5 linked regions of the Ovis aries genome follow. Each later gene encodes a partner of the first gene's protein in a complex. Links are inferred from orthologs where the notes say so. Each region holds a gene or a part of one and is shown in the gene's direction. Other genes may lie near its edges.

The links.
Region 2: EXOSC2 (region 1) and EXOSC5 share a complex: the UniProt entries of both Homo sapiens proteins name them as parts of the RNA exosome core complex. The link is inferred for Ovis aries from reciprocal best matches to the Homo sapiens genes EXOSC2 and EXOSC5.
Region 3: EXOSC2 (region 1) and EXOSC6 share a complex: the UniProt entries of both Homo sapiens proteins name them as parts of the RNA exosome core complex. The link is inferred for Ovis aries from reciprocal best matches to the Homo sapiens genes EXOSC2 and EXOSC6.
Region 4: EXOSC2 (region 1) and EXOSC4 share a complex: the UniProt entries of both Homo sapiens proteins name them as parts of the RNA exosome core complex. The link is inferred for Ovis aries from reciprocal best matches to the Homo sapiens genes EXOSC2 and EXOSC4.
Region 5: EXOSC2 (region 1) and EXOSC8 share a complex: the UniProt entries of both Homo sapiens proteins name them as parts of the RNA exosome core complex. The link is inferred for Ovis aries from reciprocal best matches to the Homo sapiens genes EXOSC2 and EXOSC8.

The regions. Positions count from the first base shown.
Region 1 is NC_056056.1:5,933,419-5,938,264, reverse strand, and holds the start of EXOSC2 (exosome complex component RRP4), read left to right. Parts: upstream 1-1,710; 5' UTR 1,711-1,727; coding exon 1,728-1,849; intron 1,850-3,477; coding exon 3,478-3,579; intron 3,580-4,846. UniProt on the Homo sapiens protein: Non-catalytic component of the RNA exosome complex which has 3'->5' exoribonuclease activity and participates in a multitude of cellular RNA processing and degradation events.
Region 2 is NC_056067.1:50,085,707-50,089,847, reverse strand, and holds the end of EXOSC5 (exosome complex component RRP46), read left to right. Parts: intron 1-645; coding exon 646-786; intron 787-1,835; coding exon 1,836-1,925; intron 1,926-2,631; coding exon 2,632-2,724; 3' UTR 2,725-3,065; downstream 3,066-4,141. UniProt on the Homo sapiens protein: Non-catalytic component of the RNA exosome complex which has 3'->5' exoribonuclease activity and participates in a multitude of cellular RNA processing and degradation events.
Region 3 is NC_056067.1:1,304,904-1,308,713, forward strand, and holds EXOSC6 (exosome complex component MTR3), read left to right. Parts: upstream 1-1,809; 5' UTR 1,810-1,852; coding exon 1,853-2,671; 3' UTR 2,672-3,089; downstream 3,090-3,810. UniProt on the Homo sapiens protein: Non-catalytic component of the RNA exosome complex which has 3'->5' exoribonuclease activity and participates in a multitude of cellular RNA processing and degradation events.
Region 4 is NC_056062.1:13,710,037-13,714,729, reverse strand, and holds EXOSC4 (exosome complex component RRP41), read left to right. Parts: upstream 1-2,040; 5' UTR 2,041-2,099; coding exon 2,100-2,270; exon of another isoform or gene 2,271-3,218; coding exon 3,219-3,425; exon of another isoform or gene 3,426-3,448; intron 3,449-3,522; coding exon 3,523-3,882; 3' UTR 3,883-3,931; downstream 3,932-4,693. UniProt on the Homo sapiens protein: Non-catalytic component of the RNA exosome complex which has 3'->5' exoribonuclease activity and participates in a multitude of cellular RNA processing and degradation events.
Region 5 is NC_056063.1:24,979,534-24,984,520, reverse strand, and holds the start of EXOSC8 (exosome complex component RRP43), read left to right. Parts: upstream 1-1,785; 5' UTR 1,786-1,810; coding exon 1,811-1,827; intron 1,828-3,121; coding exon 3,122-3,158; intron 3,159-3,390; coding exon 3,391-3,454; intron 3,455-4,439; coding exon 4,440-4,513; intron 4,514-4,987. Other genes in the region: ALG5 (dolichyl-phosphate beta-glucosyltransferase), read right to left, coding at 353-418. UniProt on the Homo sapiens protein: Non-catalytic component of the RNA exosome complex which has 3'->5' exoribonuclease activity and participates in a multitude of cellular RNA processing and degradation events.

The DNA.
Region 1 (4,846 bases):
ACGTGGTCTAGGAGCATTCCCAGGCCTGGCAGCCTGACTGAGCTATACTGCTTCAAAGGACACCACTGCCCTCTTCTGGTCGAGAGCAGACTCAACGGATGCACCCTTTCTCATACTTTTCTTGGCTCTAGCCCCTTCTCCTCTGTCCTCTGTCTTATGAGATGGTTGGATGGCATCACCGACTCAATGGAGATGAGGTTGAATAAACTCCAGGAGATAGTGATGGACAGGGAGGCTTGGCATGCTGAAGTCCATGGGGTCACAAAGAGTCAGACATGACTGAGCGACTGAACTGAACTGAACTGAGCCCCTTCTCCAGGCAAGGAGGAGGGCAAGTGTCTGGCTGTCCACTTACTGATGACCTGTGAGCAATTAGAATCTATATAACTGACTACCTTACAGGGTTGGCTTTCTAGACAAATGTAGTTGTGAGCCACGCTTAGGTGAAAGAAATGCTATCCTTTTGAAGATTTACCAGGCTATTGGTCTGATGGGTCTTCAGGAGAAAACAGACTTAATTTACTGGTCTCAGTGAGTGGTGCTGATGCAAGTTATTTTATTTCATCCTATTTAGAATCCCTGTACTGGGCTGTGCTGTGCTAAGTCACTTTAGTCTTGCCTGACTCTGCGACTCCCGACTCTGAGACTCCACAGACCATAGCCCACCAGGCCCCTCTGTCCATGGGATTCTCCAGGCAAGAATACTGAAGTGGGTTGCCGTACCCTCCTCCAGGGGATCTTTCCGACCCAGGGATTGAACTCGTGTCTCTTATGTTTCCTGCATTGGCAGGCAGGTTCTTTACCACTAGCGCTACCTGGGAAGCCTGCATGAAGAATTATCACCTCCAATTCCCTGAGGTTGAAACTAAGTCTGTTGCGAATGCTATAAAGCATGCAGGGCCAAGGGTGAGGGAGAGGGTAGCACCTGGGGAGAGGGACAAGCGAAATACTCCTGACGCCTAGATAAAACCACATATCCTTCCATCTGTTCATCACTGAACCCTTAGGACAGCTCCTGGCTCATTTCACTGTGTGAGTAAATGTACGCGAAAATCTTTGTATTGTGTCCATTTGTCCTCCCTGACAAAACATACCCGCTTGGCAAGATTTAAATGTGTTCTTAGACGGCTTCTTGCTTTTTCCAAAAGAAATACCAGGGAAATCAGCTCGCTTAAGAAAGAATGGAAACAGCACCTGCAGCACTGTTTGGGGGTGTAGATGATGGTTGGTGCTGAACTAGCACTCACGAAGTGACAGTAATGTAGAATACAGGGGCTACTAGTAACAGTACGAAAAGAGACTCTTTCCTCTGTCCAAATAGTGTTTTCTCCTCTTGATCCTCCTGGTCAATCGCATACCAAAGAAGAGAGATTTCAGCAGCTTTGAATTGGAAGGAAACTCAGAGGCCCACTTCACAATTATTTATAACCCTGGAAAACAGTAAGTGAGATGAGCACAAGAGTTTTGCTGAAAAGTCGAACGCTATGCAACCTGAGATTTTATTATTTGACAAGAGCAGCCTTGCCAATAGTAAAAATGGCAACTTGACTCCTTCCTTCCCTTCGTGTTAACCTAATGGTTGCCAGTAGCCAACATGGAGGCCAGACCGTGAGTTCCCGTTGGCGGCTGTTCTGAGGCCCCGCCCCTATGAGCGACGGCTGGAAATTGCGGAGACGGAAAGCGTGACTCCGAGTGGGGCTGCGCCTGCGCGAGTTATTGGCGCCAAGATGGCGTTGGAGATGAGGCTTCCCGTCGCTCGGAAGCCTCTTAGCGAGAGCCTGGGCCGCGAGAGTAAAAAGCACCTAGTGGTGCCAGGGGACACGATCACCACGGACACAGGCTTCATGCGGTACGTGGGGTTGTGGGGACACTGGGCGGCAGGGGCGGCTGCATTGCTCTCTTTCCGCATCAAACCTGGGCCTGTGTTCTGCATCTAAGTGCTCGCGGTACCCGGGGCGCATCTGGGAGCATCTCAGTTGCCTCGTTTTCGAGGCTTCGGACTTCCTACTTCCTGCTTCTTGTATGTCCCCGTCTGTAGCTGCCTCAGCTCCCCCGAAACCTTCCTGTCCCGATCACTGGTAGCTGTGACTCGTGGGTCCTGTGCCTCAGGCCCCGATTCTGAGGCCTTCCTCGTTGAACCTGCAGCTAGGGCCTCCTCACAGGTTTCGGCGGAAGGGATGGTGGGCGTTTTTGACTTCTTCCACTTAGCCCTCAGCATTCCGTCTCCTAGCCAGGGGCACGGTTTTGGAACGAGCCATTGCTTGGGCTTAAAGAAAGTGAAGTCGCTCAGTCGTGTCCGACTCTTTGCGACCGCATGGACTGTAGCCTACCGGGCTCCTCCGTCAATGGTATTTTCCAGGCAAGAATACTGGAGTGGGTTGCCATTTTGGGCTTAGGGGGCATGCAAATATATTATGTTACATGCACCAGAATAGGTAACTTTGAGTCTGAGGGCAGGCTCCAGCTTAAGGGCAGCTGGGGTTCCGGTCCTGCTGCCGTCACAATATTAGCTGTATCACCTCTCCGAGGTCAGTTTCCTCGTCTGTAAAATAACTATTCCAGAGAATGGTGAGGATTCCATGAAAGTGAAAGTGTGGAAGAGTTAGTCCCTCAGTCATGTCCGACCCTTTACCACCCGGTGAACTGTAGCCCGCTAGATTCCTCTGTCCATAGAATTCTCCAGGCTAGAATACTGGAGTGGGTTGCATTCCCTTCTCCAGGGATCTTCACCACCCAGGGATCCAACCCAGGTCTCTGGCATTGCAGGCAGGTTCTTTACTGTCTGAGCCACCAGGGAAGGATTACATGAGGGGTAATGATTATGAAAAAAAGTAAGACTCACCATTCTATCACCATCACAGTGGTCAACACTACTCATACCTCAGGCAGCCTCTGCCCTCCCCCCATATGCATATGAGAGAGGTACAGCGTTTATTCCATTGCCCTTTAACCTCTTAGTTTGGGATTATTGGTTCCCAGGAAATCTTAAGATTCAGTCCTTTATTCATGCAGTCCATAAATATTATTTGTGGTTGGGGTATAAACTGAACAAAGAGGAAATCTCTGTCCTGGTGGACTTTATGTTCTGAGACAGACAGATGAGAAATAAGCACAACAAACAAGTTATTTAGAATATTTGCTGGTAAATGCAGTAGAAAAGAATAAAGAAGTGAGGCAGGGTAAGTGGAGCATAAGTTGGAAATATGGTGGGGATGGCAGCCGCAGGGCGGGTGACTATTACAAATGGGAGAGTTGAGGAAGGCCTGGTGGAAAAATGCCATTTGAGTCGACTTGAGTACAGTGCAAGAGATGGCCACGTAGGACTCTAAAGAAGGAGTGTTTAGGCAGAGGTGGCAGCCAGCAGAAAAGCCTGTCTTTGAGGCAGGAGGAATCAGATTTGAGGAACACATTGTTCTGGCTGCTAGAGGTCACCTCAAATATTACCCTGGTATCCTTTGTATCTTCCTGTTGCAACAGGGGCCATGGAACCTACATGGGGGAAGAGAAGCTCATTGCATCTGTGGCTGGCTCTGTGGAGAGAGTAAACAAGTTGATCTGTGTAAAAGCTTTGAAAACCAGGTGAGAGCAAAAGGTGTGTATTTTGTGGCATCTGAGTTGCACAGCCAGGTCTTTTCTGCCATGACACACCCCCTACCCCCAGCCCTGCCTGCCCTGTCGTTCTGTAGGGCTGGGATTTCGGGAACATGACTGGAGGAAGGGTAGAGATGACTGTAGGTAAGGGTAGGCTTCAAAGGTTTCCCTACGATATCTGACCTCTTCAAACTTGGGTTCCCTCTCCTGCAAAATGAGACCTTGCCTGACCTCCTGGGTAGGATTTTCCTTGGAATTCACCGAAATAGTGTGTATAAAGTACTTTACACAGAGAGCCGTCTGCCTTGAGGGCTCAGTAAAGGTTAGCCCCAGAACATGAGCCAGTGGGGTTGGAACAGAGTGAGCAGGCGAGTAGTAGGAGCAGATGCAGAGAGGTGAGGTAGGCAGTCTGCATGCCCTGCAGCCACGATAAACGTTTCTGACTTCCACTCTGTGCGGTCTAGGAAGGCCCTGGAGCAGAAGGACCTGATCCGCCGCCCTCTGTTTTAATGGAGTCACTCTGGCTGCTGTTGGGGGCGGGGGTGGGGCAGGGTTAGGGAGCCAGATTCCTGCTCTGTTCTCATCATCTCGGTTGGTGGTGGCTTGGACTAAGGTGATAGCCATAGAAGTGGGGAATAGTGATCAGTTCTGCGTGTATTTCGTGTTCTGCGTGTATTTACTGTGAAAAGCTGTAGGATTTTGTATGTGGGCTTTTCTACACGTAGGACTATGTCTGTGAGAAGAGATCGTTTTATTTCTTCCTTTGGGGTGCTTTTTATTTTCTGCCTACATTGGTAAGGTAGAGGTCTTAGAATCTGCTGCTGGACCTGTCCTGGAGCAGGAGAGAGAGGGGAGGAGGGAGATACACACGGTTCCTCCAAAGACTCCAAGGACTGTGGCTTGAGCAACCGGAGGGGTGGAGTTGCTATTTCCTGGGCCGGTGACAGTTGGGAGAGGATCCATTTGCTATAGTGGAATTGAAGGGGCTGCTAGAAAGCTTTGTTTGAGGTTTCTAACTTACGCAGATTCCTGTTAGGCACGTAAGTGAAGGTGCTGGGTAGCCAGTGGTTGACTAGAGCTAGAGCCTGAATTCAGGGGAATGGTGGACTCATCGGTGGCATTTAAAGCCATCAACTTGGGTAAGCTCACCAAGTGAGTGTGGGCTGGAAAGAGAAGAGGCCCAAGGACTTAGCCTTCAGAGTGGAGGCTCTAATTCATCATTAGAGTTGGGAGGAGGAATTAGGAAAGGGATCCG
Region 2 (4,141 bases), on another chromosome or scaffold:
GGAGGAGAGGAAACTGAGCTGGGGCTGGCTGGCTGACTCAGGCCTGTGCTCACCCTGCACAGGGCCAGGGCCGCACCTCTCCCCTGGACTGCGGGCTCCCTGAGGACACTGACTCCTCCCTCCGTCATCCTGCCAGCCTGCCACCCGGTAGCACTGCTTGCTCGATTCCCCAGCCCCAGGCCTGGCTCTGCCACTGCCTCCTTGTTTTATCTTGAAAGGCTTCTGACCTTTGTTTCCCCGAAGGTGCATACCTGCCGAATATCATTGTGATCCCTGACTGAGGCTGAGAGAGAGTAAGTAGCTTGTTCAAGGTCACACAGCCTAGGGGTGGCAGTTCACGTTTGGAACCCAAGGATACTAGATCCCAGGATTACTCTGCCTTTCTGTGATCAGTTAGCTGTCTAGTGTTCACAGGCACTGGCTTGGTGAACCAGAGGCATGGATGTATTCTGCTGACCAACCTTCGGTAGAAACTCTTAACATGGGAGTTCCCTGGCAATCCAGTGGTTGGGACTCTGCGCTGTAACTGCTGAGGGCCTGGGTTCAGTTGCTGGCTGGGGAACTAAGATGCCACAAGCCACATAGCGTGGTCAAAGAAAAAAAAAGGATGAAAAAAGAAACTTAACCACGGCCTGTGGCACTCAGCTCCTGGCCTGCTGCCTGAATGCCGCCTGCATGGCCCTGGTGGACGCCGGTGTGCCCATGCGGGCCCTCTTCTGTGGGGTCACTTGTGCTCTGGACTCTGATGGGACCCTCATGCTAGACCCTACTGCTAAACAGGAAAAGGTAAGTGTGAAGGGCGGGGTGGTGAAAGGCCCTGGGCAGGCACCCTCCCTCTCCTCCTCTGGGCCTCACTTCTCCAAAACAGTTGGCTGGTACCACCTCATTTGCTCAGCCAGCTAGCTCTGCTCTGTTCCTCTGGGCAATTGCTAGAAACCCAGCTCTAACCTGCTGAAGCGACAAGGGAGTTGATTTTAAGAGGTTCAAAACCAAAAACAAATCTTAGAGTTTCTTCTTCAGTGGCTCAAGTTCACAATGTGCTGGGGCTCCAGTTATTCCCAGTTATCTGCTCAGGACTGTGACAGTCACTTCCAGTCAGGAAAGCGGAAAGAAACCCCTTGGGAGCTTCAGATGTGGGGGGAGGGGAGTGGAATTGAATGCAGGGAACTGGTCACAACAGCCATGTTGAAAGAGCTGAAGAAGCAAAAGGGAAGAAGGGAGGACCCCCCAAGACGAGAAACCTGAGGCCAGCTCCTACCGGGCACTGTTGGGGACATGGGCGCAGTCAGATCTAGATGAAAACAGAGACAGTCTGGCTCTGGCCTGGCTGCTGAGGTCCGCAGCCACCCCATCTCCATGACAACTGTGGTGGGTGATACGCCCCAAACTCCTGTGAGGACCCAGATCCTGTGAGGACCCAGATGCTGCTTTCTGCTTCCTCTCGTCTCCCACCAGATTCCCACTAGAACCAAACTGGCAGGGGAACCTGGGAAATAGAGCTTGCTGGCTTCCAGCCCCAGAGAGCAGAGCACTGCTGGGAGGCACTGAGGGATGACCATCACCGTGGCTGCCCCTCTGGTGTGGAATACTGTGCTTTGGAAGCCCCTGTCGGAGCCACGTGGTGGGATCATGTGAGGAGCGATTACGCAGGGGGGGGGTGATGTGTAGACTCCCCTCAAAAAATACACTTGCTACGTGAGGGCCTGGCTGCAGGAAAAGCAACCATCCCCCCCCCCCCCACCCACACACACACACACACACCCGCTTTGGGGCCAGCTGAGATTGTATCTGAGGGGAGGGTCCCAGGTCTTCCACCTTGTACCTCTTGTTCCTAGGAGGCCCGGGCAGTCCTGACTTTTGCCCTTGACAGCGTGGAACGGAAGCTGCTGATGTCCACCACCAAGGGGCTCTACTCTGACGCCGAGGTATCACTGCATAATTGGGGGTGAACACCAGGCCCTTTGCGCCCCCCTGACACGAGGTCTGGTCACTATTCTAAGAGGCGTAAGGGGAACCCCTTCCTTGCACCCCTTCTGCAAATAGGTTTTAAACTTTGTGGCCATAGAATCCTTTGTGGGAATTTTAAAGGGAAGCCCAGTTGATGAGAAGAGGGGCTCAGGTGGAAATCAGGACACGGGGCACTTGAAGGCCTCCCAGCTTCCAGCTCAGAGCTGTGCACCCTGGAGTTCGGGGTGTCTGAACAGAGTTTGGCACCTATTGGGCCAAATGGTCACCAAGAACATTTACCACCTGGCCCTCCTGTGAAAACATGTATATGCGGCAGTAAAGATTCGGGGTCTTGAGTTCCATGGCTTTTAAGAGTATTTGGAGTCACAGGGCCTCTGGGTCTAAAATTCCAGTCTCTCTGGAACCTGGGAATGCTTCCGGGAGCAGGATGCCTGACACTGTTGGTCCGAGGGCCTGGAGCTGTTTAATCAGCCCTGAAGCCTCCTCTAACGAGGCCATGAAGTGGGGAAGACGGGAATGCATGTGGAGTAACCCCCTCACCACCACCCTCCCCTGGGGAGAGGGACTCCTGGTGAAAGGGGAGGTGTTAGGTTTGGGGGGCTCTGGGAGTCAGGTGGGGCCCCCGGCACTGACCACCCCTGCTCCCCCCCGCTCCCCTCCCAGCTCCAGCAGTGCCTGGCTGCAGCCCAGACTGCCTCCACACACGTCTTCCGCTTCTACCGGGAATCGCTGCAGAGGCGTTACTCCAAGAGCTGAGGCAAGCCAGGGCAGGCCGCCCCTCCCGCCACCTCCAGCGTCAAAGAAGCCAGCAGGCCGGCCCTGCCGAGAAAAGAGTGGCTATAGCCGGCCCCCTGGGCATGGGGGACCCCACCCCACTCCAGGAAGGCACTGGTAGGGTAGTGCATTCACTGAATGAAGCTACTCATTCTAACAGCCCCATGAAGCCGACTGCAGTTAGAGTGTGCAAGCCCTGCTGGGTGCTAAGGCGTCAGCAGTGAGTGAGGCCCAGGTTTGAGGAACGGTGAGGTGATAGACAAATAACAGTAGTGTGTGTTGGATGGTGGATGGTATTTAAAAAATAAAAAAATTTTTATAAAGGGGTTTAGGTGAGTTCATGGTGGGGGAAGGGGACACCCTCGTGGAGAGGGAGCATCTGAGGGAAGTCCAGGAGGAGGCCAGGGATGAGCTTAGGGACTCATGGACACGTGGCGGGGAGGACCCCTTGGCAGAGATAGGCAGAGGTTCAAAGACCAGCAAGATGGCTGGTGCAGCTGGAGCAGAGGAAGGGAGGGCAGGAGGGAGGAAATGGTCAGGGAGACAACAGGGTTCGTGTGCCTTGGAAGGCAATCTGCCTCTGAGCACTGCCTTTATCCAGCAACCCCCTGAGGTGGGGCTGTTATGGTCCCTATTTTAAGGTAAGGAAACAAACTTAGGAGCCAGTTAACTGGCAGAGGTCACTAGCTAGTTAGTGGTGGAACATGGGTCCCTCCTCAGAGTCCAGACCCAGAGCCCCACTATTCAGACCCCAAGAGAGTCAGCACACTCTGGACCTCAGGTCCCTGACAGTGAACGGAAGTGACTGAGGCCTGTTGGTTCTCAGTCGGGTAGTAGCACCGCATAAGGGGCTTCTGGAAAGAGGTATATTTTCAGTTCTGATTTGACTGATTCCCACAGGTGGGCCACATGCCTGCCAGATCCTGTCTGCCACTGACATCTGGGGGGTTATGGTAAAAATGACAGGTTGGGGAAGGGGGTCCTTTGCTGCAGCTTCAAACGGGTGCACTGACTCACACAGTTGGCCCTTTGGGCAGGTGTCATTTTCATCTCCACTAACCAAGGAAATGCATAAATAGCTTGAGATTACACTCTGTGAAAACAGTCAGGAGAGTATAGACAGCGAATAATGTTTGCTTCTGGCAGGATTAAATGGCAGTGCGCCTGTGCACGCCAAGTCACTTCAGTAATGTGCCACTCCGCAACTGTGGACTGTAGCCCACCAGGCTCCTCTGTCCATGGGGTTCTCCAAGCAAGAATACTGGAGTGGGTTGCCATGCCCTCCTCCAGGGCATCTTCCTGCCCCAGGGATCAAACCCCCATCTTTTCCATCCCCTACATTGGCAGGCAGGTTCTTTACCACTAGCGCCACCTGCTGCTGCTAAGTCGTTTCAGTTGT
Region 3 (3,810 bases), on another chromosome or scaffold:
CGGGGCAGGATTGGGTGTCTGGCTCCAGCCCTCTCCTTGTCTGCCTTAATCCCGTTCTCAGTCCTGACTCCCGCTCTGCCTTCCTGTCTTCTAGAATGCAGCCAACCGGGGCCTGAAGGCCAGTGAGTGGGTGCAGCAGGTGTCAGGCCTGATGGATGGCAAAGGCGGTGGCAAAGACGTGTCTGCTCAGGCCACGGGCAAGAACGTGGGCTGCCTGCAGGAGGCGCTGCAGCTGGCCACCTCCTTTGCCCAGCTGCGCCTGGGAGACGTGAAGAACTGAGAGGGAAGGGCAGGTGCGCCAGGAGGCATCTCCCCCGCTCCCCGACCCAGGCACACCCATCCAGCCAGCTCTCCTTCCACCACAAGGACGTTTGAATCTTGAGACCTTTAAACAGTCCCATCTGTCCTAACCCAGCAGTAACCGGAACTTCACCTGAGAGCCAGCCTGTGACTCAACGCCCATGTTACATTTCTGCCCTGAGCACATCCGTGCCGTCCACCTAGAACTACTACCCCAGGATTGCTTTTTCATCATCACACTTGTGTCTGTAGAGAGTTCTTTGCAGACTCAGTGCTATGGGCCTCAAGGGAAGAATCATTTTCTGCTGCAGAGAATAAAAAGGCCATGTGCAATACTTGACAGGATACCGCCACGTGATTCTTTTACTCCTCCTCCCTTCTCACCCTCCCTCCTGTGATAACTTGTGCTTCCCTGGGTGTCTGTAGACTAGTGGCTGTGGTTCCAACTGGTTTCTGGTTGCGGCCCTTGCTGAGTCCAGCCCCAGACCCCTGAACTTTGAGAATAATGGTGCCTGGATTTGCGTCAAAACATCTATGGGGATGGCTCACAGAATAGGGTGATGAAGATGGTCCCTGGGGTTGCTGGCAGCGGAGAGCGTCTTCGTTTTTGGTGCTTTTTACAGAAGAACATTCTCGTTGATAAGTCTCCTATGTCTTTTCCTCTCCTGATGTACAGGTTGGATGTGAGGTCAGAGACATTCCTTGGTATAGGAGGTTTTTAGGGAACATCAGTTGCCTCCTCCCAACACCCTTGACTGCCAGGTCATTCCAGGTTTCAGGACCTAACTTGGACGGTGAAGATGGAGACTGACCTGGTTCTGTCCATTTACCCCAGCCTGAAGACAGCTGGGTGTGGGAGCTGTAGTGTGTAGTATTTAGTTGTGCCCTCTCTGGCTGACTTCAAGTCCCCTGGGTACAGCAGGCTGGCCCTGAATCATTCTCAGCCCTGCTGACTTGGAGGGAGCAGAAAAGCAGGTTTGTGCTGAGAGAAGAAGCAGAGACCACCAGTCACAAGGCCTGGGGGTGAAGAAGAGGAGAAACAGGAAGGGTGCTGAGGCCCTGGCTGCAAAAAAGCAAGCCAGGTGAGGAGTGTGAGGGATACAAAGCTCACACAGTCCGCAGCGCGGGAGCGAGTTCCAAAAGCACTCCACAAGCTGTGCCAGCCAGGGCGCAGTACCAAAGGGCCCTCTTGGACAAGGCGGCGGGGGAACATGTATACGGTTGTGTCACTAGTGTAGGACCGATTACAGCTTCACAAGTGAGAGGAAGAAGACCCACGCGCTGGGCTTGCGCTGGCGTGAAGGCTAGAGGTCAGCGGGGCCGGTCTAGACCCCACTTCTGCAGGCCCGTCTGATCCACCCATGCACCCAGCTCTGGCCGTCCTCGCGGTGGCCCGGGGCTCCGCGACGCGCACCGTCCCCCTCCGGGGCGGCAGGGGGCGGTGTGGCGCCAGCCGCTCTCCCGCGCACCCTCGCGCGGCCGGGCAGGCGGGCGGAAGCGCCGGCGCGCGGGGCCCCGCTGACCCGCGGAGCCGGCCGGCAGCAGCGCCGCCATGCCCGGGGACCACCGCCGCATCCGCGGGCCCGAGGAGTCGCAGCCGCCGCAGCTGTACGCGGCCGACGAGGGCGAGGCGCCGGCCCCTCGCGACCCGGCACGGCTGCGGCCGGTGTACGCGCGCGCCGGGCTGCTGAGCCAGGCCAAGGGCTCGGCCTACCTGGAGGCGGGCGGCACCAAGGTGCTGTGCGCCGTGTCGGGCCCGCGCCCGGCCGAGGGCGGTGAGCGCGGCGGCGGCCCGGCCGGGGCGGGCGGCGAGGCCCCCGCGGCGCTGCGCGGCCGCCTGCTCTGCGACTTCCGCCGCGCGCCCTTCTCGGGCCGCCGGCGCCGCGCCCCACCGGGCGGCGGCGAGGAGCGCGAGCTGGCGCTGGCGCTGCAGGAGGCGCTCGAGCCGGCCGTGCGCCTGGGCCGCTACCCGCGCGCGCAGCTGGAGGTGTCGGCGCTGCTGCTGGAGGACGGCGGCTCGGCGCTGGCCGCCGCGCTCACAGCCGCCGCGCTCGCCCTGGCCGACGCGGGCGTCGAGATGTACGACCTGGTGGTGGGCTGCGGCCTGAGCCGCGCGCCGGCGCCCGCGCCCGCCTGGCTGCTGGACCCCACGCTGCTGGAGGAGGAGCGCGCCGCCGCCGGCCTCACCGTGGCGCTCATGCCGGTGCTCAACCAGGTGGCTGGGCTGCTGGGCAGCGGGGAGGGCGGCCCGACCGAGAGCTGGGCGGAGGCCGTGCGCCTGGGGCTCGAGGGCTGCCAGCGCCTCTACCCCGTTCTCCAGCAGTGCTTGGTGCGGGCCGCCCGCCGGAGGGGTGCCGCTGCGCCCCTCTGAGCCAGAGACCCGAGCAACGACGGACGCCAAGGACCGACCCGCAGCTGCCGCCACAAGGACCCGCGCCGTCGGCCTGCAGATGCGTGCGCCGAGCTGAGAACCGGGAGCACCGCGGAGGATCTGCGGAGGCGTGCTCAGAATAGCCGTGTTGGAGCGATTCTTTCCAGACTGCTTCGTTAAAGAAACTTTTCTAATTGAGTTGACTCCCAGCCACGATCCAGTTGAAGAAACCTGCCAGCGCATCTTGACTCCTAAGTTGGAAAGGACTTCCGCTGTACTCATCGGGAAAATGATGCCTATGCAGGCCAGCCGGGGGCTCCCTCCTGAATAACTGGGCTGCTTTTGAGAGCGGGGACAAGGAGGCTGTGCCTTCCACGTATATCTGAACCCAAACAAAAACTCTTTTTATAATCTGAAACATTCTGTTGTTTTTGGTACCGACTTTAATGAATAAGGCTCTTCTGAGCTGGGGACTGTGTTCTCAGGGCTTGGGACAAGCATTATCTTTAATGTGTCCTGGGGTTGCTGGTCCACTAGTGAGAGGGCACTTGAACTGCCAGGAGTGAGAGTTTCTGGATGCTGGAGATGCCATTCTGTAGGGCAGAGCGGGTCTGTCTGACCAGGAGGGTGGGCTCTGCCCTGTGTGGCTCCTGAGCCCTGCAGGTTTGTGCTCAGGTCTGAGTTGGCGAAAGGGCCGCCTGGGGTCCTCCCTGCACCAGCTTGGTGTAACCTGAGCTTGTGTGTCTTAGGGGCCTGCTCAGCTGTAGGAAAGGCTGGCTCAGGCAGCTGAGAGACCAGAATGAGGCCTGGGGACCACACCAAGAATCCCTGACTAGGGGGAAAAATACAAATTTTATTTGACCCCAGTGACATAATATATATTTCCAAATCAGATCTGAAATACAGAATCACAGCAGAAAGAAACAAGATAGAAACAAAGTAAAAATGGTAACCCTGTGGACGCTCAAACAGGACTGGGGGCTTTGAGAGGGAAGAGAGCTGACGCTGCTCCGGGGGGGTGGGCATCCAGCTCCGCTTGCAGGAGCGGGCCTCAGCTCTATGAGATGGTGTGCTGGTGCCGGGCAGCTGCGGGCCGCCCCCTTCCCTGCAGCATCTAGACTGCCATCTGGACAAAGCTA
Region 4 (4,693 bases), on another chromosome or scaffold:
AGCCGAGGGTGAGGGCACTGAGCCAAACAGAGGATGACGGCCATCAGGGCCATGGCCCAGGCGCAGACAAGGCCTCGTGCGGCAGTATTCCAGACCACCTTGGAGGGGTCACTGGGCCTGGGACTTAGGCCCAAGCCCACCACAGCACGTCTGTTCCACTTGCTCTTCCCACAACTTGACACTGAACTGCTCCTGTGGGCGGGGAGGGAGGACCATGTCATCTCCCCTTGAGCCTGGCAGACCTTGGTGACTGCCTTGACCCACAGTCTGGCAAGAGTGACACTACCTGACTTCTGGAGGCTAGGTCTTAGAACGCCACAAACACCCACTTTGTCTTGGGAGTCCACCTTGGTGCCGTGCTTTGCGGAAGCCCAGGCTGGATGGAGAGGCCACATGAAGATGTGCTCTCTCTCAGAGCCTCAGTTGAGCCCTGGCCAACAGCCACCACCTGCCACCAAAGACGTGAAGGAGGAAGGCTTCACGACAATGCCAGTCATCGCCAGTCACCAATGACCACAGACAGGAAAGCCCCGAGTGCACACCGCCCTCAGCCCCAGTGAATGTCGCCTCCCTATAGTCAGTGTCACAGCCCTGCTGATTTATCCTTCCCTATTCAAACCTGAAGCATGGGATCTGGTTTCTAAGCACTGCAGAGGGGCTGAATAATGCCCTAAAGTTGTGTCTGACTCTTACAACCCCATGGGCTATAGCCCGCCAGTCTCCTCTGTCCATAAGATTCTCCAAGCAAGAAGACTGGAGTGGGTTGCCATTTCCTTCTCCAGGGGATCTTCCCAACCCAGGTCTCCTCCACTGCAGGTAGATTCTTTACCAGCCGAGCCACCAGAGAAGCCCGAATAATGCAAATGAGGAGGGTAATGAGCTCCCTGATGGTGACCTTGACCACCAAGCAAATGGTATCTGGAAACAGGAGGCAGCTGTGGAGGAAAACATCTCATCCCCCCTCCTGTGAGCCCCTCTGCTGTTCCAGGGCATTTGACATCAGGCCACGAAATGCAAGAGGAATGGCAGTAACCCTCTGAAGAGGGAAGGATTATGTAAAAAACTTTTAACATTTATTCCAGGTGGGAAAGGACGGAGAATCTAACTCCCACACAGCCTTCACTCAACCCCGGGACACACATCCACTGCCCACAATGGGGTGGTTGCTGGGTACATTCTACTTATTACTTGATACTCGTATCAACCAAAAAACTATGAGTTCCACAGGATTACTTGGACAGATTTTATATTTTTGAGTTAAATGCAAAAGTGTATGAAACAATCGCATTTTAAAAAATAAGAGTTCCAAAGGCCACTATATGGCTGTACATGTACAGCTGCATATACACGTGTCTGTGTGTGACCTGGATGTAATTATGAGTGTGAAGAAAAACGGAGCCATTTTTTAAGCTATAGTAGATAGGGGGATGAGTGCAGAGAAACAAGGCAACATGGAAAATTGAAACTAAAAAATTTGACCATGTGTACGTACAACATAAATGTGTCTGCTTTTTAAACGGACAAATGTAAAAACTAAACGGTTTAAAGAAAAAAAAAAAACAACTGCGAACAGAGAGTGTATCTCAGCTTGGGAGAAGGCCTGCATTTATGACCGCGGAAGAACTTAAGACCAGCAGTGGCGGCTATCGCCCGCAAACCTCGAGGGAGATACCAAGCGTCAAGCAGAAGTAAAGGAGCGCCAGCGGCGCGGGAAGCGCGGGGCTCAGTGGAGAGGCCGAGGGAGAGGCGGCGGCGCGGGGCGGGCAGGCCCGGATGGTAGAGGGAGCCGTCCCCATGACCAACCCGGGAAGAAACGACACGGCGACTCCACGTCCGGCATGCCTCCAGCCCTGCAGGCGCGAGTGCGTACCCCAAAAGGCCGCAAGGGTCCCTCCCCGGGCCCACAGCCGCAGTTCCGCAAGGACCGGAAATGAGATGTGGTGCCCTCGGGAACTCTGGGAGAATCGCAGGGGTCCGGAACCGGAAGTCGGAGTCGGTGCCCCGGAAACCGTAGTCCTGGGGAATCGGAAGTGGGGAGTCAATTCTACCGGGAAGTGTAGTTCTGCCGGGCGCTCAAGCCTGGCTAGCGCCCGGGCGGCATGGCTGGGCTGGAGCTCCTATCGGACCAGGGCTACCGAGTGGACGGGCGGCGCGCTGGGGAGCTGCGCAAGATCCAGGCGCGGATGGGTGTATTCGCGCAGGCCGACGGTTCGGCCTACATCGAACAGGGCAATACCAAGGCGCTGGCGGTGGTCTACGGGCCTCACGAGGCGAGTGGGCGCGCGCGAGCCGGGCTTCCTCCGGGGGTGGCCACTACGGGCTGTGAGGGGCTACCTGGCTGAGTAGAGGCCTCGGGGGTGAGGCTGGCGCGCGCCGCCTTGTGGGGCCGCGGCCAAAGTCCTAACAGTGTCTTGCACGACGGTCCCTGCCTTTCTCCAGCGCTCGCTACACCGCTTTGTTACTCCTAAAACCGCCAGGGCCGCTCTCACTGGCTCCCTCACCTCTCAGCTCCACTCCGACGTCACCTCTGGGTGACACCTCACCCCATCCCACCCCAGACCACCTTACCTACCCTTTACAAGTCAAGTTCCCTCCTTTACATCCACACACTTATCTGGTTTCCCGCACCCGCCTCCTCAGACATCAGTTTAACTTATTTCTCACTGTTTGTCTCCTCACTGGAACATAAACTCCGTGAAGACAGAGAGTGTTAATAAAACCGCTTGGGTTTATCACCACTCCAGCGCTGGAGACTTAAGGCCAGAGAGGTAGAAGTAAGCATGGCACTCTTGCAGAGCAGAAAGACTGGTGATGGGGAAGAGGGTGGTAATTCCAAATGAGACTGAGGGATTTCTAGGGAAGCAGGAACCCAGGACCTTTGTAAACAGGGAAAAGATTTAGGATTTTTATCTCACGCGTGATGGGAACTCTTTATAAGGTAAGCAGTATATGTATTGTGCAGAGGAGGTAGAATCAGACTTGATATATGTAAACAGATTCTCATACAAAGGAAGCATGGGGTCGAGAGAGGACGAGTCAAGAGGGGAAACAGGGAGGCCTGTCAGGAGAGAGATCCAGGGACGATGGTGGCTTAGAGCCTGGCCCAATGGCCCTCCCTCGGGCTGTGTTGTTTTGCAGGTAAAGTGGTTGCTTGTTGGGATGTTGGAGGTAGAGGGAGGAAGGGCCTGGCTCATGTGTTCTCCCCCACCCTACCCCAGATCAGAGGCTCCCGGGCACGAGCCCTGCCTGACCGGGCCCTGGTGAACTGTCAGTACAGTTCTGCAACCTTCAGCACAGGGGAGCGCAAGCGGCGGCCACACGGGGACCGCAAGTCCTGTGAGATGGGTCTGCACCTGCGTCAGACCTTCGAGGCAGCCATCCTTACACAGCTGCACCCACGCTCCCAGATTGACATCTATGTGCAGGTGAGCAGGCAGCAGCCCTCAGCCTGTGGAGGGGAGAGAGAAAGGAGGAGTTGGGGTTCAGCAGCTTGAAACTCATGCCACTGGGGGGTTCCTGCAGGTGCTGCAGGCAGACGGCGGGACCTACGCAGCTTGTGTGAATGCAGCCACGCTGGCAGTGTTGGACGCGGGGATACCCATGCGGGACTTTGTGTGTGCCTGCTCAGCTGGCTTTGTGGATGGAACAGCTTTGGCAGACCTCAGCCATGTGGAGGAAGCAGCTGGGGGCCCCCAGCTGGCCCTGGCCTTGCTACCAGCCTCAGGCCAGATTGCACTGCTTGAGATGGATGCCAGACTGCATGAGGACCACCTGGAGCAAGTGCTAGAGGCCGCTGCCCGGGCTTCCCGGGATGTACATACCGTACTGGACCGTGTGGTCCGGCAGCATGTACAAGAGGCCTCTGTCTTGCTGGGGGACTGAGCACAGGGCCACCCAAGCCCAGAATAAAACCTAAGCACCTTTCACTGTACTTTTATCTCTTCCCCACCGCACTTCCTTGCCCTTGGATCCTGGCCTGGTGCTGGCTCTAGCAATGACTAAGGGTCCGCCCCCAAGACATGCACTACACACCCCTTGCAGCCTCAGTGCTGCTCACCCTGCTCATCAGGGTGCTTCAGGTGAGCACCCTGAAGAAGGCGGATGTCCCTGGATGAAGTGAGCAGCCTGGGCCAAGAAGGGATTGCTGGGCAGTGAGACACAGCCTGGTATAACGAGCCATGCCCCACGACCATGGAGTCTGTCATTCTCATCCCAACACATCCAGAGTCCTGAGCACAAGTCCTGAGGGGTGGCTTTGGGTATTCACTATGGTCATGTGGGGGCCGTGTCCCACATCCTCTGGATTGTGGCTGGGACTGAAGGGTCTCTTGCCCTCTAGAAGCCTTTTGGGCCTGTCCTGCTACTTCCCTTGGGCTCCAAAAGTACAACAGACACATAATGTCACCTGGCGTCTTCTCAGTCCTGACCCTAAGACAGACACTGCCTGCTGCCCCACCACTGCACCTTCCTCTTTCAGGCTCCCCCTTCTTCCACCTCAGACTTGACTGAGCCCTCACCACCAGGCCCTGCAGCCTGAACCAAGGGGCTGCTCCTTCTCTAATATCCCAGGCACCTCCTGGCCCAGACAGGGGTGCTTCCCACTTTCTACTCAACACACCCCAGCTCCTTTGAAACCCCTTGGCCAGTAGTTTCATGCACCTTCTTCCCTGTGGTCATCGGACCCCAGTGATCT
Region 5 (4,987 bases), on another chromosome or scaffold:
TCTCCCTGGGTAGGGCCAGAACTGCAGACCCGGGAGGAAGTCTTGGAGAGGTCAGGGCTGAGAGGGCGGATGGGCAGAAGGTCCGGAAACCAGGGGACTAAAAGAAGACGGGGTGGGCATGTCCCAGTGAACGCAAGTGCTAGGTTCTGGGCACGCAGGGGGAAGGAGCTCCAAAATAAAAATAAGGAACTGAAGGAAAGGGGGTGTGAAATTCTGGGGTCTAGGCTTGGGGAAGCGTGGTGGAAGGACACGTCAAAGAGCGGACAGCTAGGAGGAGAGCATGCCTGGGGGGCCGCGCCTCCAGGAGCGCAGTGAGCCCAGGTCCGCGTCTGTCCCCAACCCCTCTCCTCACCAGAATCAGGGCCGCGGCGGCCAGCGCCACGCCGAGCACCGCCAGCTGCAGCAAGACCGGAGCCATCCTCCATGCCGGGCCGCCAGCCGCCCTATCCCGCGTTTACACACACGCGGAAATGCGGCCGCGCAGCCCCGCCTCCAGCCCGCAGAGAGGCCATGCCAGCTGGGCGCCCGCCGCCCACAGCGCCACCTCGCGGCCAGACCCGGTCACGCCCGGGGACCCGCGCTGCCCACAGCGCCACCGCGTGACGAGACTATGTTGTGTGCGAGCGGCTCTGTTCAAACGCAGTAGGGTTGTCAAAATCAGCAAGGAGAAATAAACGGATGTCCACTTAAATTGAATTTCAGATAGCAACGGATCGGTTTTCAACAGCACTATTAAAGTATAACACACACTCAAAGTTCGCCCATTTAAGAGCTTTTTGTTATATTAACTTTGAAAAACTGATCAAATTTCCCATTTTAACCAGTTTATGTGTCTACTACAGGGACATTGACTGCACTCACAGCTTCCTGCAACCATCACTACCGCCTCTTGCTAAACCTTTCCCAGTTCTCCCCCAGCTTCTGGTAACAACTAACAACATGAACAATTTTGCGTGTACTCTTTGTTCACCTGACATTCAAATTGAATTGGATGTCCTGCGTTTTATCAGCAACCCTTTCTAGGAAGGAGGTGGAGTGGAGGTTTTGAGCCACGACACAGTCTACAACGAAAGTTGTTTCTTTGGAGCCCACTCTTGGCAGCTGCGTAATGTAACCTGATGTGGATAACCAGCGCACAGAATTTTTAAATTTTCGGTGCTCTAGCAGGAGGCTTTTACCTGGAAGAAGGCAAGCCCAGGGCTCAGCCTAAGGAGGAGGGGGAAAGAACGCGGAAACACTGGAATAATGCTCCACGCTCAACACTTGATTTTTTGCTATACCGTCGGTTTTCTCTGAAACTTTTGAATGGTGGGCTTCCTTGGTGGTTCAGCGATAAAGAATCCGCCTTCAATGCAGAAGACGCAGGAGACATGGGTTCCACTCCTGGTTTGGGAAGATCTTCGCAGTTTAGTATTCTTGCCTGGAGAATTCCAAGGACAGAAGAGGCTGGTGGGTTATAGTCCATCGGGTCGCGAAAAGTCTGATTCTACAGAAGAGACTAAGCACGCACGCTTGAACTATCAAACTGTTTCTAAACAAACACTCATAACTTTCGTAAAAGCCGATTCGCCAAAAACGTCAAGGTCAAGAAAACCTAAAGGGGCGACTGGCTAGGGGTGGTCGAAGCGAAGCCATGCGGGAAACCACCCTCACCTCTTCTACCTCTACTCTGGTCCATACAACCCTGCCTTCTACATATCAGGTAGCAGAATCAGTGTTGAAAGTGCTGAAGCGAAACAGCAGCGCGGGCCGGAGGGGTGGTGATACGCAGGCGCGGGCGCGGGCGCAGGCGCAGATCGGCGGGCGGAAGATGGCGGCTGGGTTCAAGTGAGTGCGGTAGGCTGGCGGGCGCGAGTTCGTAGCCTGGCGGTCGGCGGCTTCCCTACCCTTGGGATTTTCTCATCGGGAGGCCACCCCACCTGGTTCCCATTTGTTTCCACTGCAGAAGGAGACGTTGGGCGGGAGAACTGAAGGTGGTCGTAGTGAAGGGAAAGGGCGCATCTTCTCCCCAGTGATAGGAAGTACTGTGTTGAGCAGGTACCCGCTGCGAGCGCTAGGCTTTGTGTGTAGTGGACTTTGCTGCACAGGAGAGACACTTGTAATCTTGTAGAAAGCGTTGCTTCAAAACCTCAGGGCGCCCTGCTTTCTCTGCCCAGTAGTTTATGTGTAAAAGCATTCTGCCTCGTTAGAAAGGTTTTCCTTAAGCGTTTTCGGTGCTGCTCTCTGGGGAAGGCTATAGCTTTTCGTTCTGAGTCGAGTTTTAAATGGATGCAATAAATAGGATTCCAAAGGAAACCAGTTATATTGAAACGACCATGTATTTGTATAAACTCCGGGTTTTTGACACAGTGAAATATCTGTTTTGAAATTAACTTTCTTAGATAAGGCCTAGTGGGAAGTCTAAAGTAACTCCTGAAATTCGAAGTAACGATACGTCTTACACTTACCATAAAGTCAGGTCGCTCAGTCGTGTCCGACTCTTTGCGGGTCCCATGGACTGTAGCCTGTCAGGCTCCTCCATCCATGGGATTTTCCAGGCAAGAGCGCTGGAGTGGATTGCCATTTCCTTCTCCAGGGGATCTTCCCGACCCAGGAATCGAACCTGGGTCTCCCGCATTGCGGGCATACGCTTTACCGACCTTAGGCAACTATAAAGTAAAAACGAAAACATCTTAATCTGTGGTTGTTAAAGTCGCAGGTACGGCTAATATTATAGTGGTTTATTGCCTATGCTTGTAATCGAAGAATATGCTAAATTTAAGTCGGGGTAGTGAAAATAAATGCGTAATTTTTTTTTTTTTCCTACTAACGAAGTATTCCTGCTTCAAAGTATGAGTGATGCACACCTGGATTCATTCTCTTTTTAAAGAGGCCTAGGGTTTTGGTCTCGATCCTTATACTTGTTTAAAGCAGAATTAAAATCAGTCTTCGAGTGTGATTGTTATTGCAAAAGTAGCTACTTTTTATAATTAGCAACATGTGGCAACATAAACTAGAATTCATAACAGAAACTTAGTTACAAATTTTGGAGATTTCTGCTCCATCACCCCACTATTAAGATTGTTGTGTTTCTGGATTTATATTGATTTATAATTTATCTCATTTTTCTCATGTCTTTCAGAACTGTGGAACCTCTGGAGTATTACAGGAGATTTCTGGTAAGTAAAGGTGATTATGTGATGCCCTTTGATAATGGTATCATATGCTTTTTTCATAAATACAAGTATTAATCATGTTATTCACCTAATGTTCTAAGTATACTTCAGTTTTTAAAAGACAATTTTAAAGTAATACAGATTAATTTATTTGAATTAATGAGGTTCAGTGTGTTTTCCTTGGTCTGTGTAAGATATACATGTAGCTGTAATCTACTTTCATATATTTACTTAGAAAGAGAATTGCCGTCCCGATGGCAGAGAACTTGGTGAATTCAGAACCACAACTGTCAACGTAGGTGAGAGTACTTTGAGTTCTAAAAGAATGTTGAAGTTGCTTCAGTTCTGAAAATAGAATTTTTTTTCTTAATAGCAACTTTTTATTTGTAGAGTTTTTTTTAACTCACTCTCCTCTCATTAGTGGGCTTCCCAAATGTCTTGGTGCATCAAGAATCTACCTGCAATGCAGGAGACAGGTTTGATCCTTGGGTGGGGAAGATCTCCAGGGGAAGGAAATAGCAACCCACTGCAGTATTCTTGCCTGGAAAATCCCATAGACAGAGGAACCTGGCAGGCTACAGTTCATGGGGTCACAAAAGAGTCACATACGACTGAGCAGCTAAGCACATCCTTTCAGTTTTTATGTTCATATTAAATTTTAAAGTAACTCTGAAGTGTTTTCCCCCTTCAAAACTTGTAAGGTTTGGTTTCCTTCTATATCTTACATTATTAAATCTTCTGTTGCCAAACATGGAATTTTCCAATTTTACCCATATGACATTCCCAGGTTTTAGCCTCTGAGCCATTTAAACGGTGTTTTAGACAAATTCTACCAGGTCTAAGGGATTACAGTGATTTTTGTCAAGAAATTTTAATAACAGCCCTGTGATTAAATGACAAATGATTCACTCAAAATCAAGAAAATGAATAATTCCTAAAACAATTCGGTTGACCCTTGAACAGTGAGGGGGTTAGGAGCACTGACCTTCACAGAGTTGAAAATCCAAGTATAATCTTACCGTTATGGATTGGCACTCCGTATCCAAGGTTCAGCATCCTTAGATTCAACCAACTGTGGATCACGTAGTACTGTGGAAGTATGTATTGAAAATAATCTTTGTATAAGTGGACCTGTATAGTTCAAGCCCATGTTGTTTAAGGGTCAACTATAATTTTACCAAGACTCAAGCAAGGAGTAAATTTTCACGGACATCTTAGATATTTAGAGATAAAAATCATACATAAAAGAAGAAAACATTTTCATTTTAAAAAAATACTTTTCAGGTTCGATTGGTACCGCAGATGGTTCTTCTTTAGTGAAGCTTGGAAATACTACAGTAATTTGTGGAATTAAAGCGGTAGGTTTAATATACTTACTACCAAGATTTGAGTTACTAAGTTAGCTTCATATACTTAGTAGATTATAATATACATCTATAATTCTACTGTTGATTGGGCAGTCAGGTGTTTTAGTATTTGTTTTCATTTCCCAAGTTTTAACCTTTGAGTTTTAGATAATACAACCCAAGTTTAATGACTTAATTATAATTTGTGAACATTTGCAAATCTGCTGAAACAATTTTTTAAAAAATCCTCACTGCCTTTAATTTTTAAAGAATTTGGCTGTAATTTGAGAAATTTTAAGGTATTTTTGGTGACATATTTTTATCCAGTGATGGCATTTAATCTGTGCAAATGTGTAGAAAATTGCTCAAAAGTTTGAGGGAGTAATAGCTACCGTTTACTGAGTACTTGCTGTTTCTAGCACCTTATGTTGGGTACTTTCAGAATTGCCCAGTTTAATCATGAGAAACGCTGGGCTAGAAGCAGCA